Linked DNA regions of Canis lupus familiaris. The protein of the gene in region 3 interacts with the protein of the main gene of each other region in a pairwise test. Links are inferred from orthologs where the notes say so. Each region holds a gene or a part of one and is shown on either strand. Other genes may lie near its edges.

What was found.
Region 1: the proteins of SF1 (region 3) and DDX17 interact in binary tests that used the Homo sapiens proteins (3 or more experiments, as listed by UniProt). The link is inferred for Canis lupus familiaris from reciprocal best matches to the Homo sapiens genes SF1 and DDX17.
Region 2: the proteins of SF1 (region 3) and SF3A1 interact in binary tests that used the Homo sapiens proteins (3 or more experiments, as listed by UniProt). The link is inferred for Canis lupus familiaris from reciprocal best matches to the Homo sapiens genes SF1 and SF3A1.

The regions. Positions count from the first base shown.
Region 1 is NC_049231.1:27,281,392-27,285,546, reverse strand, and holds the start of DDX17 (probable ATP-dependent RNA helicase DDX17), read right to left. Parts: upstream 2,833-4,155; coding exon 2,692-2,832; intron 2,354-2,691; coding exon 2,061-2,353; intron 1-2,060. UniProt on the Homo sapiens protein: As an RNA helicase, unwinds RNA and alters RNA structures through ATP binding and hydrolysis.
Region 2 is NC_049247.1:23,903,012-23,906,655, forward strand, and holds part of SF3A1 (splicing factor 3A subunit 1), read right to left. Parts: intron 3,312-3,644; coding exon 3,104-3,311; intron 1,957-3,103; coding exon 1,699-1,956; intron 1-1,698. UniProt on the Homo sapiens protein: Component of the 17S U2 SnRNP complex of the spliceosome, a large ribonucleoprotein complex that removes introns from transcribed pre-mRNAs.
Region 3 is NC_049239.1:52,884,856-52,889,233, reverse strand, and holds the start of SF1 (splicing factor 1), read right to left. Parts: upstream 2,823-4,378; coding exon 2,435-2,822; intron 1,130-2,434; coding exon 1,001-1,129; intron 1-1,000. UniProt on the Homo sapiens protein: Necessary for the ATP-dependent first step of spliceosome assembly. Binds to the intron branch point sequence (BPS) 5'-UACUAAC-3' of the pre-mRNA. May act as transcription repressor.

The DNA.
Region 1 (4,155 bases), on a different chromosome or scaffold from region 3:
AATCTATTTCGGCTCTGTAATTGTTAAGAATATAGTAACTCAAAATCATAAATGCAATTTCATGGTAAATGTAGAATTAGGACACAAACATCATGAAAAAGTGCCATTTTGTGTGAAAAGTTTAAAGCTTTAAAAAAAATGTCATCTGATAGTCAATATGGGGTAGAAATATGGATCAGTAATTTACTTTTTCTTCTTTTCAAATAATTTGTTAAAACATGTATATGGTGAAATTAAGTATTAAACCAAACACCTATGGTATGGTAAAGAAACAGAACATGATCAGTACCTTGGTAGCCCTCTGTGCCTATTTCAAGTTTACAAACCCACTACAACTACCATCTTGATTTTTGCTTTTTGGAGTCCGGTCATATACGTATCCTTTTACCACAACTTGCTTTTTCAATGTTTGCTGGTCATCCATTTTGATGCAAGTTTTTTTTTTTTTTCTTCCACGGTTGTGTTACATTCTACTGTAATGAATACCCACCCTTTATCTAGACAGAAGAGTGGTTCCCAATATTTTCATGAACAGTGCTGGTATGAACATTTTTTGTACATGAATGCTGGGGAACACGTACAATGATTTCTCTAGGCTTGTGTCTAGGGTACAAAGCTTAAGAAAGGAATTATTGGGTCATTTTCTACTAGGTAATGTCAAAAATTCTTTGTCTCAAGTGGTTGCACTGAAATTCACTTCTAAATTGAGCTATACTGTGAAACTCTAAGCAAACATTCCACTTCTAGCCCTCCAAATTTAACACTAAGATCAAATATTTTCTTTTCTAACAAGGTATAAACAAAATAATCCTTTTTATTCGGCAATTCAAGTGAATTGAGGTGCTTATGACTAGAGGTCTGGGACTTCTGTATTTGAACCGCAAAAGACAAAAATGTTTGGAGAAAATATCAACAGAACACCTATCACAAAGACACAATTTTACATAGATCTCAATTCCCGAAAACAATGCAAAGTAAAGGCAATTATTATGCCCATCTTCAGTTGAGAAAATAGGCTCACAAAAAGGTCCAGGATCTTGCCCAAGGTCACATATGTATATATATTAATAACTGGCGTTCCATTATTATTTATCCAGAGATAAGACCTTTATTACAAAAAGTTAACAGCACGAACATTCGCATCTCTTAGGCAACTTTTCCCTTTAACTTATGTTAAGATCTGAATCTCAGTATCTGGGAAGAACTTTAATCTTGTTAACTTTCAGCCGTGGCATTATCGCATCGAAACTTTCTAACCAGGCCGAGCAACTAATACTCCAGTCCAACTGGAGAAGAACAGAACACAGGGTGGGAGGGAACCCTACAGTAACCAAAAAAAAAACAAACAAAAAAACCCACAAAAAACCCTCCCTCCCCTCCTCAAATAAGATCATTTAGATGGCAAACAATTCCACTGCTTTACTGTCCAAAGTGCTTCCTTCGAATTATCTGAAATACCACTAAAGGGGATTTTAAGATACATTTAAAACTAGAAATCAGCCATTTGGCGTCTAGTTTCCAACTCGATTTCCAGTTCCTTTAGCAGTTATCTCTGGCGACAGATAAGATAAGGGAAGCCATTTGGCGTCAAGATTTTCCCAGGCCGAACTCGGAGACCTCCTCCTCTTCTCAGCAAGAACATCCGTGTTTTACAGATGAGCGCTGAGGCCTGGAGAGATCAAATGACTTGCCCAAATCGGCCGGGCCCGGCAGCCGGGCGGCGAGGCGAGGCCAGGCTGGGTCTGCGGCGCTCGGGCCGCCGCTCCGGCTCCCCGCCACGACTGCGGTCCGAAAGGAGGGGCTGGGGCGTCGCCAGGCCGCCCCCCCACGCCGGGTCTCCCGTGATCCCGGGGCGCAGGCCCACCCGCAGGCCCGCACACCAAACCGCTATTATGTCCCAGGTCGCCTCGCCTCCCGGAGTCGGGGGCGTCGCTCCCAGGCCTGCAGTCCGCTCCAGGTCTCCCGCTCGGCGGCAGGCTGCGGTCTCCTCAGGAAACAACCTTCCCCCTCCCCCCGGCCCACGCACACGCGAGGCCTTCCCTCTCCCCCTCCCCCCTTACCCTCCACGGTCACGATCCCGGTCCCGGTCCCCAAAGCCGCCTCCGCGCATGGTCCCAAACGGATAGAGATCTGGGAGCGGGGCACGGATGGCCGGGCTCGGGAGGGCCTGCGGCTCCGGTCTGGTGACGACCGATGGCGGCGGCGCCTCCGCTGTTGGGGCGGCGGCAGGCGCGGCGCTCTCTCGCTCCGACGCGCTGTCTCCCGTCGCAGACGCCACCGTCGCCGCCTCTCTCGTCGGAGACGGGAGCAAAACACAGAGAATCGGGGTTATAAAAACTGTGGGTAGGTTTGGCTACGCTCAAACCCGGCAGTGCCGCGGTTTAGGCGTCTCCTTCCTTCCCAGCGACTGCACAAAATGGCGGCCGGCGCTGAGACTGCTCCAGCTTAACGCTACGTACGTCGGAGACGATACGTAAACAGCGTCTTGGAATAGCCCGAGGGCTTGGCGGAGTACTAAGGGCATTCTTGGAAGCCATTTACGTCAGTTGCGCAGACCGGCACATGTTGCAGTCCGTAGAAGAAAAATAAAGTACGAAGCGGGCGTAGAGTGCTCGCGCCACCTGAACTAGAACGTGGGGTGGGGTGAGGGGAAGAGCCTCCGGTGCGACGTAACATTCTTTGCGTCGTTACCCGGCCCACTATTGCGAAGATGCGCAGTGTGCGTAACGCATTCTGTTTGGAGAATAGAAGATTTTGCCGGGTTCCGAACGCGGGACGGAACACGGGCCTCCTTGTGCAAGTTGGTTTGCAGACACAATAACCGTCCTCCATATTGCAGTCGTGAAGTGTCAGGGTTTCCCGGCGCCTTGGGTCCAGGCGGGTCTTCAGGGTTCCTGGATGGCGTCCCTGGGTCGCTCCGCCGGCCTGGGCCTGCCGTCACCGGCCGCGCGCCCCGGCGCCATTTTCTTTCGGTTGCCTCTCGCTGCGCTGTTGCCGGCAGCCATGATGGATGCTCCTTGTCGGTTCTCTCGGGAGGTGGTCGGCGGACGAGGTCCCAGTCAGGTTAAAGCACTCCCTGCTACGCTTGGTTCACACCGAAGTGCGTTTTCTGAGCAGAATATTCACGGTCGGGGGCTGAGCGCAGTTGGCTAACAAAGAACCAACACGCAGGTGGAGCCCCTGTTGAGGAAGACTCCCGGGTCCCATGGTCTCCGTTCGTCGGCGCTGCCTCGGGAGGTCCTGGCAGGCCCTCAGCGCCCTCCCCGGGCGAGGACGGTTAAAAGCCGTGGCCTTTCGACACAGAGAAGGTGAAGGCCTGAGCACGTGTTTTTAACCAGGCCGGAGCATGTTCCTCTCAGTTCCTTCCACGCTGGTTTCCAACTTCCTGCCTCCTCACTCAGACTGAGCTTGACGGTCTCACAAACCTGGCCAGACAGCGTCACAGAATTGTTGAGCTGCTAAGGCCCTCGCGAGCTGCTCATCTGATGTCTCTTTTGTTTATTTCTACAGATGGGGGAGGGGGGCGGGGGCGCGGGATTCGAGGTCCTTCATTGTGGGGGCTGTTGTCTCTTGGTTGTAAATGTTTCCCAAATTATGACAAAAGGAGCTCAAGGAAAGGAGCTTGGTGACAAGCCGTTCAGAGGTCCTTGGGGCCGTAGCGCAGATGGACAATTGGAACCACTGGACCTGTGCTGAACACTGCATCAGCCCAGCACTGTGCTAGGCACTGGGGCAGAGGGCACTGGACACGTGAGTTCCTGCCCTCATGGGCTTTATACCACAATGGGGGGGAATAAAACAATGAATCTTTATGTTATTTAAAGATTGCTAACTAAAAAATAAAGATTGCTGATTAAAATAGAAAAAGCGAGGAAAGGGGATAGTGTTTCTGTGTCTGTGGGGGAGGGGAGTGTATGGATGTCACGGTGTTACATGGGGTGACCTGGGGGAAGGCCTCTCTAATTCAGTGACATCTGAGCAGCGACCTAAAGGGAGGGAGTTAGCTTTGCTGGCAGAGGAAGGAACACATGCAAAGGCCGTGGCGGGCTGTAATGAGGAAAGACGGGAGAGATTTGAAGGATTTGTAGGCTGCTGTAAGGACTTTGTTTTTTCCTTTCTGTAAAATGGAAATCTCTATAAAGTTTTTAGAGTGAC
Region 2 (3,644 bases), on a different chromosome or scaffold from region 3:
CTCTATCCTCCCTATACCTCTACCTCATGAATAAATCTATTCCTATGGTCTCCAATGACCAGAGACAGACACCAGTGACCTCAGGTTAAAATGCTAATGTTAATACCCAAATCTTGAAAAAGAAGAACAGGAAAATAACAGAATAAAAAGGAATCTCGAGACCTTCAACCCTGGAAGTAGTACACAAAGGAAAAATAACACAGGGCTTAATTAAAATTGCTCCTGGATAACTAATTACACAAAACCTTTGGCTTTCATGATTGTTGTTTTAGCTATTCCACCACCATTTTTGGATTTGATCATTTTCCAAACACATGCACCTTTATAATCCTTTCTAGTTACATAAAGTGAACTAAGAGTAAACCATTACAAATCTTTTCAAGTCAGATCTTTAACGTGCTACTCTAAAAAACAAAAACAGATGTATAAACCACACCAGTAAAGAGGGAAGACAACCTCAGCTACATGTGGAGCAAGAAAAACAAGCCACTGGCAAGTTTGTATCAGTGTACTTTGCAAGAAGTTAATTTGATTGTTTTTAAATATTAATATTGACTTGTCCCAATCTTGATTCTAACAATGTAGCATGATAATTAAGATCTTCTTAATACAGACCCTAACACCCAGATCTCAGGTTCTGGAGTAAAAATGCCAGAGTTCAAGTCCCAGTTTAGCAAGCCCTAGATGTGTGATCCTGTCCAAGTTAACTGTGTGCCTACTTCCTGTGTAAAATAAGTATGAGTGGCTACCTTGTAAATTACTAGAGATTAAGTGACAGAATGCTACATATACAAGTATCCCAACAATACTAGCTTATCCTTACTTATGTTAAATGTTTTCCAGTGCTTTTTTTTTTTAATTCAGTTTGCCAACATATAGAACACCCAATGCTCAACACATCATATGCTCTCCTTAATCCCCATCACCTAGTTACCCCAACTCCTAACCCCAGTGCTTATTTACATTATAGTTCTAATGTAAGGTACCCCTCGGGGTGAAAAACAATATAAATATTTGAGTGCAGCTACTTACTAGCTGACGACCATGAGTAAATGACTTCAACTCTCTGAGCCTATTTCTGCTTTTAAAAAAGGGTAGAGGAGGATGCCTGTGTGGCTCAGTGGTTGAGCATCTGCCTTCAGCTCAGGGCGTGATCCTGGAGTCCCAGGATTGAGTCCCACATCAGGATCCCTGCAGGGAGCCTGCTTTTCCCTCTGCCTATGTCTCTCTGCCTCTCTCTCTCTCTCCCTAATACATAAAATCTTAAAAAAAAAATTGCCTTATAAAGAAAAAAAGGGGAAGGAGGGAATATCTCCTAGGTTCTTATGAAGAGCAAACTGGGCAAAAGGAGGTAATTATTAAGGGCTTGCTTCTTCTCACATCTGTGCTAGGCAACTGAATATTTCAATATACTTTAAAAGCAGCTAGCATCACTTGGCCTTGTCACACAGCAGGCACCAGCCTAATGGCAGTTATCAATCACACATTTTACTTCTATTTAAAACCAGCAGTCTATGTTACATTTAAGAGGCAGAACTGAATTAGAAATCAAGATCTTACACCGAAGTATAATTTTTAACACCTGCCTGAGGGTCCACAGAGGAGTCATGTCCTTATAGACACGAGTAGATCCAGTGCTTATTCATGGTGCCTTCCTTCCCTAGGCCCAGCACCCCCACCCCTGCCCTGGCGAGGCACCTTGGTGTACTGCTCCACCAGCTTTGTGAAGTAGTTGAAGAGGCTGTGCTGCGGGCGGAGGAAGTCAAACTGGTAGTTGCGTTGCTCTTTCTGCATCAGTTGGGTCAGAAACTGGCGGCCATTCCTGGCCACAAACTGAGCTGTCAGCTTTACCACATCCAGGTCGAAGGCTGAGATGGACGGGGGGTCTGCGATGAACTCAAACTCAGGAGGGGGCTCTTTGGGCACGATGGTCTCTTGGATCACCTGGGCTTGGACCTAAGATGCAGAGAGAATGTGAGGCTTGAGAGGTGATGGGAAGACACCCCAGACAGGATGGCAGAGACCTCTACACTCCTGTTAATCATGTAAACACCTCTGGCCCATGGTGTGAGAATCCTAACTCATAAGAGTGCCAGTTTCTTGGCAAACTGTGGACTCAAATTCCCAAATGGCTTCGAACAAGAACCTGCCCTTCTGTATTTTTGCTGTTGCCCTGAAATCAAGGGCCAAAACTGAGGGGCAGAAGATCTGACGGGAAAATGCCTTATTAAACCCCACCAGAGGAGGACGGAGGACACAGTAAGCCCTACATGTGTGCGGAGGACCCCCTGGACAGAGAACTTCCATGTTTGTTACCTCATCTGGCCTCCACATGAACCATGTGGTGGATAGAACAGGTACTATGAATCCCTTTTATAGATGAGGAAACTGAGGTAGTCTGAGGCCTTAGCAGTAGTAAATGGTAATGCATGGTCATAGAATCTATTCCAACCTTTATTTCCCACTGTAAAACAGGAGGTAGCTTTTTCCACCATGGTCCAGGAATAGAGCAAAGAGAAGGGACCAGACTAGGTCTATAAAGGAGGCAAAATGTGCCAGCTCTTCTTGTTCTCATTGACAACCCTAACTGTCCTAAGTGATGGACCTAAAGAGGATTAGGGTATTACAGCAGGCCACAAGGAAGGGCCCTGGGAAGATAGGATGGATGAGAGGGATGGCTCAAGGAGGGGCCCACAAGCCACATCACAGCACTGTCCTTACTCCATGGTCAAGGCAAAAAGTACAGGCTAAGAACTTGAACTCTGTGGACTATTGACTCTATGGCCCAGGTAAATCCTACTTCCCCAAGTGTCAGGTTCCTCATCTGTAAAATGGTCACTTTGCTGTTCTCCTCAAGCAGCTGCTGTGCGGTGCCAACAAGACTCCTAAAGTACTGAGCATAGAGCCAGATAAGCAATGCTCAGGAAACGTCAAAGGCGGCAATACTATGCTGCCTGAGCCTCAGTGTCTGCCTCTGTGGATAAAAACCTCATGTTTCTCCTGGCTAGCAGTGAGGTTTGGATAACAGAGTTCATTATCCTTCCCTCCCTGGCCTGGCTTCCCTTTCAGCCCCGGGGATATGAAGGAAGGGGATGGCTCTAACCTTCTGGGGCAGCTGCTGCTGGGTGGCCTGCTGTTGCTGCTGCATGACCTTGGGGATGGCGGCTGAGGGCTCCTGAGCCTTCCCCTCCTTGAACTCGCTGACCTTGTGGCGGTAGTAGGCATGGTAAGGGTCGTTGGGGTTCAAGAAGTTAAACTTGGGGTTGTTGATCTCATTCTGTCGTATCCTAGCTTCAAATTCAGGTCCGTTTCTACAAGGAGGAAAAGAGAAAAATTAACACTACAATCCTTACAACTACCCAGAACACTGCCCATTCAAGCCCCCTCCATGCCACTACTCATCACTCAAACTAGCCCATCCCTGAATGAAGCAGAGGTCCTCCATAAAGCTCCTGGCATCAGTGGTCAAAGTCATCTGCCTCCTCCAAGCCCGAGCCAGGCCTCCTTTACCATAAGGTCTCTCAGACTTGTCGCTCCTATAGTTCTTCTGCTAGTCTTGCCATCCAAAACTATTTAAACTTACTGTTTTCTTTTAGTAAACTTATTTTAAAATGTACTTTGAAAGAAAAACATTTATTACTACT
Region 3 (4,378 bases):
AAATGTAAGAGATTATGATCCTCAAGAATAACACATGCCAGCCTTGAAGCTTTTTATCTGTAAAGGCTACAGCCTCCCAGGCCTAGGCGGCCTTTGCCCTAATTTACTCCAAAGGGGATGTTTATTTGGTTAGTAGGAAATGCTTATCAAGTGAACTTTTTGGAGACAGCTGGAGATACATGAATAAAGGTGAAACTCGCATTAAAAACCTTGTATTTAAAAAAAGGTAATTTTGAGGTTAACTTCATTTACATTGTGGACAATTACTATAATTATTGTCTTGAAATTTCCCAACAGTTAAGATCTTTTTTACCCTATCACCTCATGCCATATCCAAGTAGTACCCCTTTCCCAGCAGAATTCTTTGATAATAAATAGTAAAAGAGCCTTCGTTTTAAGGCAGCTCTCCAAAGACCAAACCAGAAAAGATGCTGAAGGAAAGGTTAAATTCAACAAAATCGTAAAAAGGGATGTATACTGCCAACACTTTCAGGACCACTCTTTGATTAAACTGAGTTTTTCAGAAAGTACCTATAAAAAGTAAAAGACCACATTTGAAGGGGAGGGAAGAATATGAAATGGTGAAAGGCCATGCTGTGAAAAAGGTACTTAGTTTATAATACCTGCAGTGTTCTCCACTTGGGGCCGTGTCCAGAGAGGCAGAAGACACTCACCTCACCAACGGGCAATGAACAGCAGCTGAAAAGTGTAGGGTGGGGTACTGGACTGGGGACTACCCTCACTCCTAAATGGGTCCCTCTACCTTCCTGGCACTCATGGAGAACACTGCTGTTACGAACAGACCGAAACCAGGAGCTTCAAATGCAGGACTTACAGAGCAAAAACTGATGGATTATGTCGAAGTCATAAAAGTACACCTGACCATACCTCATCTCAAAAGAACAAGACTTTAAAGTCTCAAATTTAGGACACATAAAACGCTGCTCAGAATAAGTCATAACAATCCGAAAACATATTTGGGTGCAGAACGTGTATTTACCTATATAAGCTCTTTCTTGTTCCCGAGTAAGTCCAGGGGGGATGACTGTAGGCATTCCTGGAATCACTGTCTTCTGTTCCATTGTATCTTGGTTCCAGCGGCTCCTCTTCCGCTTCTTACTTGGGAAGTCTAAAGGCAGAGAAAACCCATCAAATACAAATATAAACCAACAAACTAACTACCAACAGGCAGTTCACGATACTTATAATACTACACACAACCTCGGCAGACTGGGAAACTGAGAACTTGACCTAAAACGTAAATGGCAAAAAATGGAAGACATACCCAAGAAATCAGAGACACACAGCCGCCACAAAGATACCTGGCTCTGGGTCCAAAAACATATTTCATATTTATAACATATGTCAAAAAAACGTGAAGTATGTAAACAAGCTAACAAATCTTAATCCCTACAGTTTCAGATATGCAACATCAACCACAAATGTTTTAAAAACCCCAGGGGAGACAAAATATACCGAATAATCAGATGTGGTAAAGTATGCTGAGAAAACTGTTGGTTCTTCCCACCTCCAAACCCCACCAGCCACCTTTCTAAAGGGACCAGAACACAACCAAACTTACAATTTACTAAGTGAAAAAGCCCAATTCTTCAAAAAGCTCACTTTTTTCTTCAGAAGTTTAGTCAAGATAAGCATTCAGTTTTCCTGGCTAATTTAGACACTTAACATCAGAACTCCTAAATGAGGTATCAAAAGTTCAACAAAATACAAGCTATCCAACAGCAGCCAAATACTCCTCCTCCAAAACAGAAGCGTAAACTTTCTACACATCTGGTACACACAAATCAGTTCTACTTGGAAAGCCCCAACAACTAAGGGGAGACATATCAGACTTCTCTAAGATAAACGAATGGAGATTAGGAAAATATTCCTTCCTCCAAAAGTGCACCGGCTCCAACCACACCACTGAGGATTTTTCGAGCTCTTCCTTTCACTGCAGTAAAAACTTCGCACAGAGAGATAAATTACTCTCGCTTTCCTACCTTTTGGACTTCTCTAGAATCAGAAAGGTGCTCCACGTCATCAATTGACCCTTTCACGCCCTCCCGACACGCACATCCCTCAACCCGTCCACCAATTCAACCCGCTCGACACCCCTCTCCTGTACCAAGCTGTAGAGAGCAACACAGAGCCCCCCCACCCCATTTCCATTTATTATCGGGCCACAAAGCCCGGCAGCCATACTGCGCCTGCGCACAACACCCTCCGCGCTCCACCCCCCCACCCCTTCCAGTGCGCGTGCGCACTCGGGGCCCGAGAACCGGGCCGCGCGCCCCTTGGCGCCTCCGCCCGGGGCCTCCCCGTGCGCGCGCGCGCCCCTGCCGCGTGCAGCCGCCGTCGCCGCCGCCGCGCGCCCCTCAGGCGGCCGGGCCCGTCCGCGCGACGCCTCTCGCGCTCTCTCGGCCCGACTCACCTCCTCCGCCGCCGGCCGGGCCCGGCTGCTGGTCCTGATGGGGTGGCGGCGGCTGCGGCGGCGACACGCGCTGGTAGAGCGGCGGCGGAGGGGGAGGCTGCGGCGGCGGGTACGAGGAGCCCGGGGAGGGCGGCGGCGGCGGCGGCTGCTGGGGAGGCGGGGGCGGCGGCGGTGGCGGCGGCGGCAGCGCCGCGAAGGGGAAGGCCGCGGTCAGGGCTCCCACCGAGCCCACGGGCGGGGGCGGCGGCTGCCCGGGCACCAGCAGCCCCGCCCCAGGCCCGGGAGCAGGCGGTGGCCCCGGCTCGAAGCCCCCTTTGGGCCCGGAAACGGGGGGGAGGCCGGGGGGGCCCAGCTTACCCAGCGGCGTGGCGTTCGCTCCGGTCGCCATGGCGCCCCCGGGGACCGGCACCGGCGGCTCCTTTTAGGCGGTGGTGGCGGCGGCGGCTTCTTCGCGAACCTTCCGGGGGGAGGGGACCCGACTGCGCTGCCGCGGAGCGCGCGGAGCCCGTCCTCTCACGCGGCGGGCGGCGGCGGCGGCGGCGCGAGACGCACAAAGAGGGAGGAGAGAGGGCGCCGCGGGGGCGGTCCGGGGGCGACGGGTCCGAGTCCTGGATTGGGCCGAGCCCAGGCAAGGGGTCGGAATCGGCGGCCTCCGATTGGCGGAGCCTTAGCCCCTCTCGATGCACGCTGGGATTGGCCGGACCGTTAGGCCGGGGGGAAGAAATGGCGGCCGAGCCTGGCGAGCTGGGAGGTGTCGCAGCGCGCACTTCATTTGTTACTGCGCGAACTGAGCTCGGAGTCCAGAAAGGAGGGGAATGGGGCGGGGCAAGCTCTGTGACGTAGGGGGCAGGGTCTTTCTCATTGGTTGAAGTTGATTGGGTCAATGCTCGGTTGCGTCGTAGTGTCATGGGATTGGCTGTCGCTTGTCCGGTTCTTTTTCTACTCCTCCCCCGGGGAGCAGTTTCTCTGGGATTAAGCGAGAGGTCGCGGCGGTACCCGGCAGAACGAGATTTACGGCCGGGGAGGAGTGGAGAGGAGAGCGCATGCGTAGATGGGGCAAGGCTGCCTCTCCGACCTTCGCTTCATGGTCGACTCCTTGGTCCGGCGCGGAAGCCCTTAGTGACGTTAAGTCTCGATTCCCATAGTAACCCGGAACCGAGGGACGGGGGAGGGGCTGGCGCGCGACCGTAAACCGGAACCGTTGACGCGCCGCAGGTAAAAAGGGACTTCCTGTTTTCTTAAAAAAAAACAAAAAACAAAACAAAAAAAACAACTATAAAATAGTCTATTTGAAGGATCAAAGCGATACTGAGCCTATGGAAGAACACATCATCTTAGGCAGAAAACAATAATAATTCGATTTCAAAATTAATTTGCACAACAAAAAAAAAACCAAAACAAAAAAAAAAACAAAATTAATTTGCAAATACATTGTATTTCCATAGAATCAACTAGGTTGGGGGTTGATTACATCATCTTAAAGTCATATAATTATGAGAATAGTGGGGAAACCTGTAAACGAGGTTGAGGAGGAACTCGCTTTTCGGAATAGTGTGCAAGACACTGTAATGAAACAATGTGATTTGTTGAAGGAAAGACAGATGAGCGCGACAGAATAGACCAGAAATAGATTCCCCATGTGTAGATTCAGTAAAGATTCAGCTAACAAATGGTATAGGATCTTAAACAATAAAACAGACCTAAAATAACAATATAGGAGACCAACAGGGTTATCTAGAGGTGGAGACTTAAGGAAAACAAGAAACTCAGACTAGTAAATATATACTTGATCACTAAAGAAATTAGAACTGTAGGATAAAAGCCAACAGATAATAAAACATTAGGAAGATATACTTGCCACACATGATAAAGGGCTAATATGCAAAGAAGTCTTAAAAACTAATTAGGAAAAAAGACAAAAACAATATAAAATGAGCAAAGGCT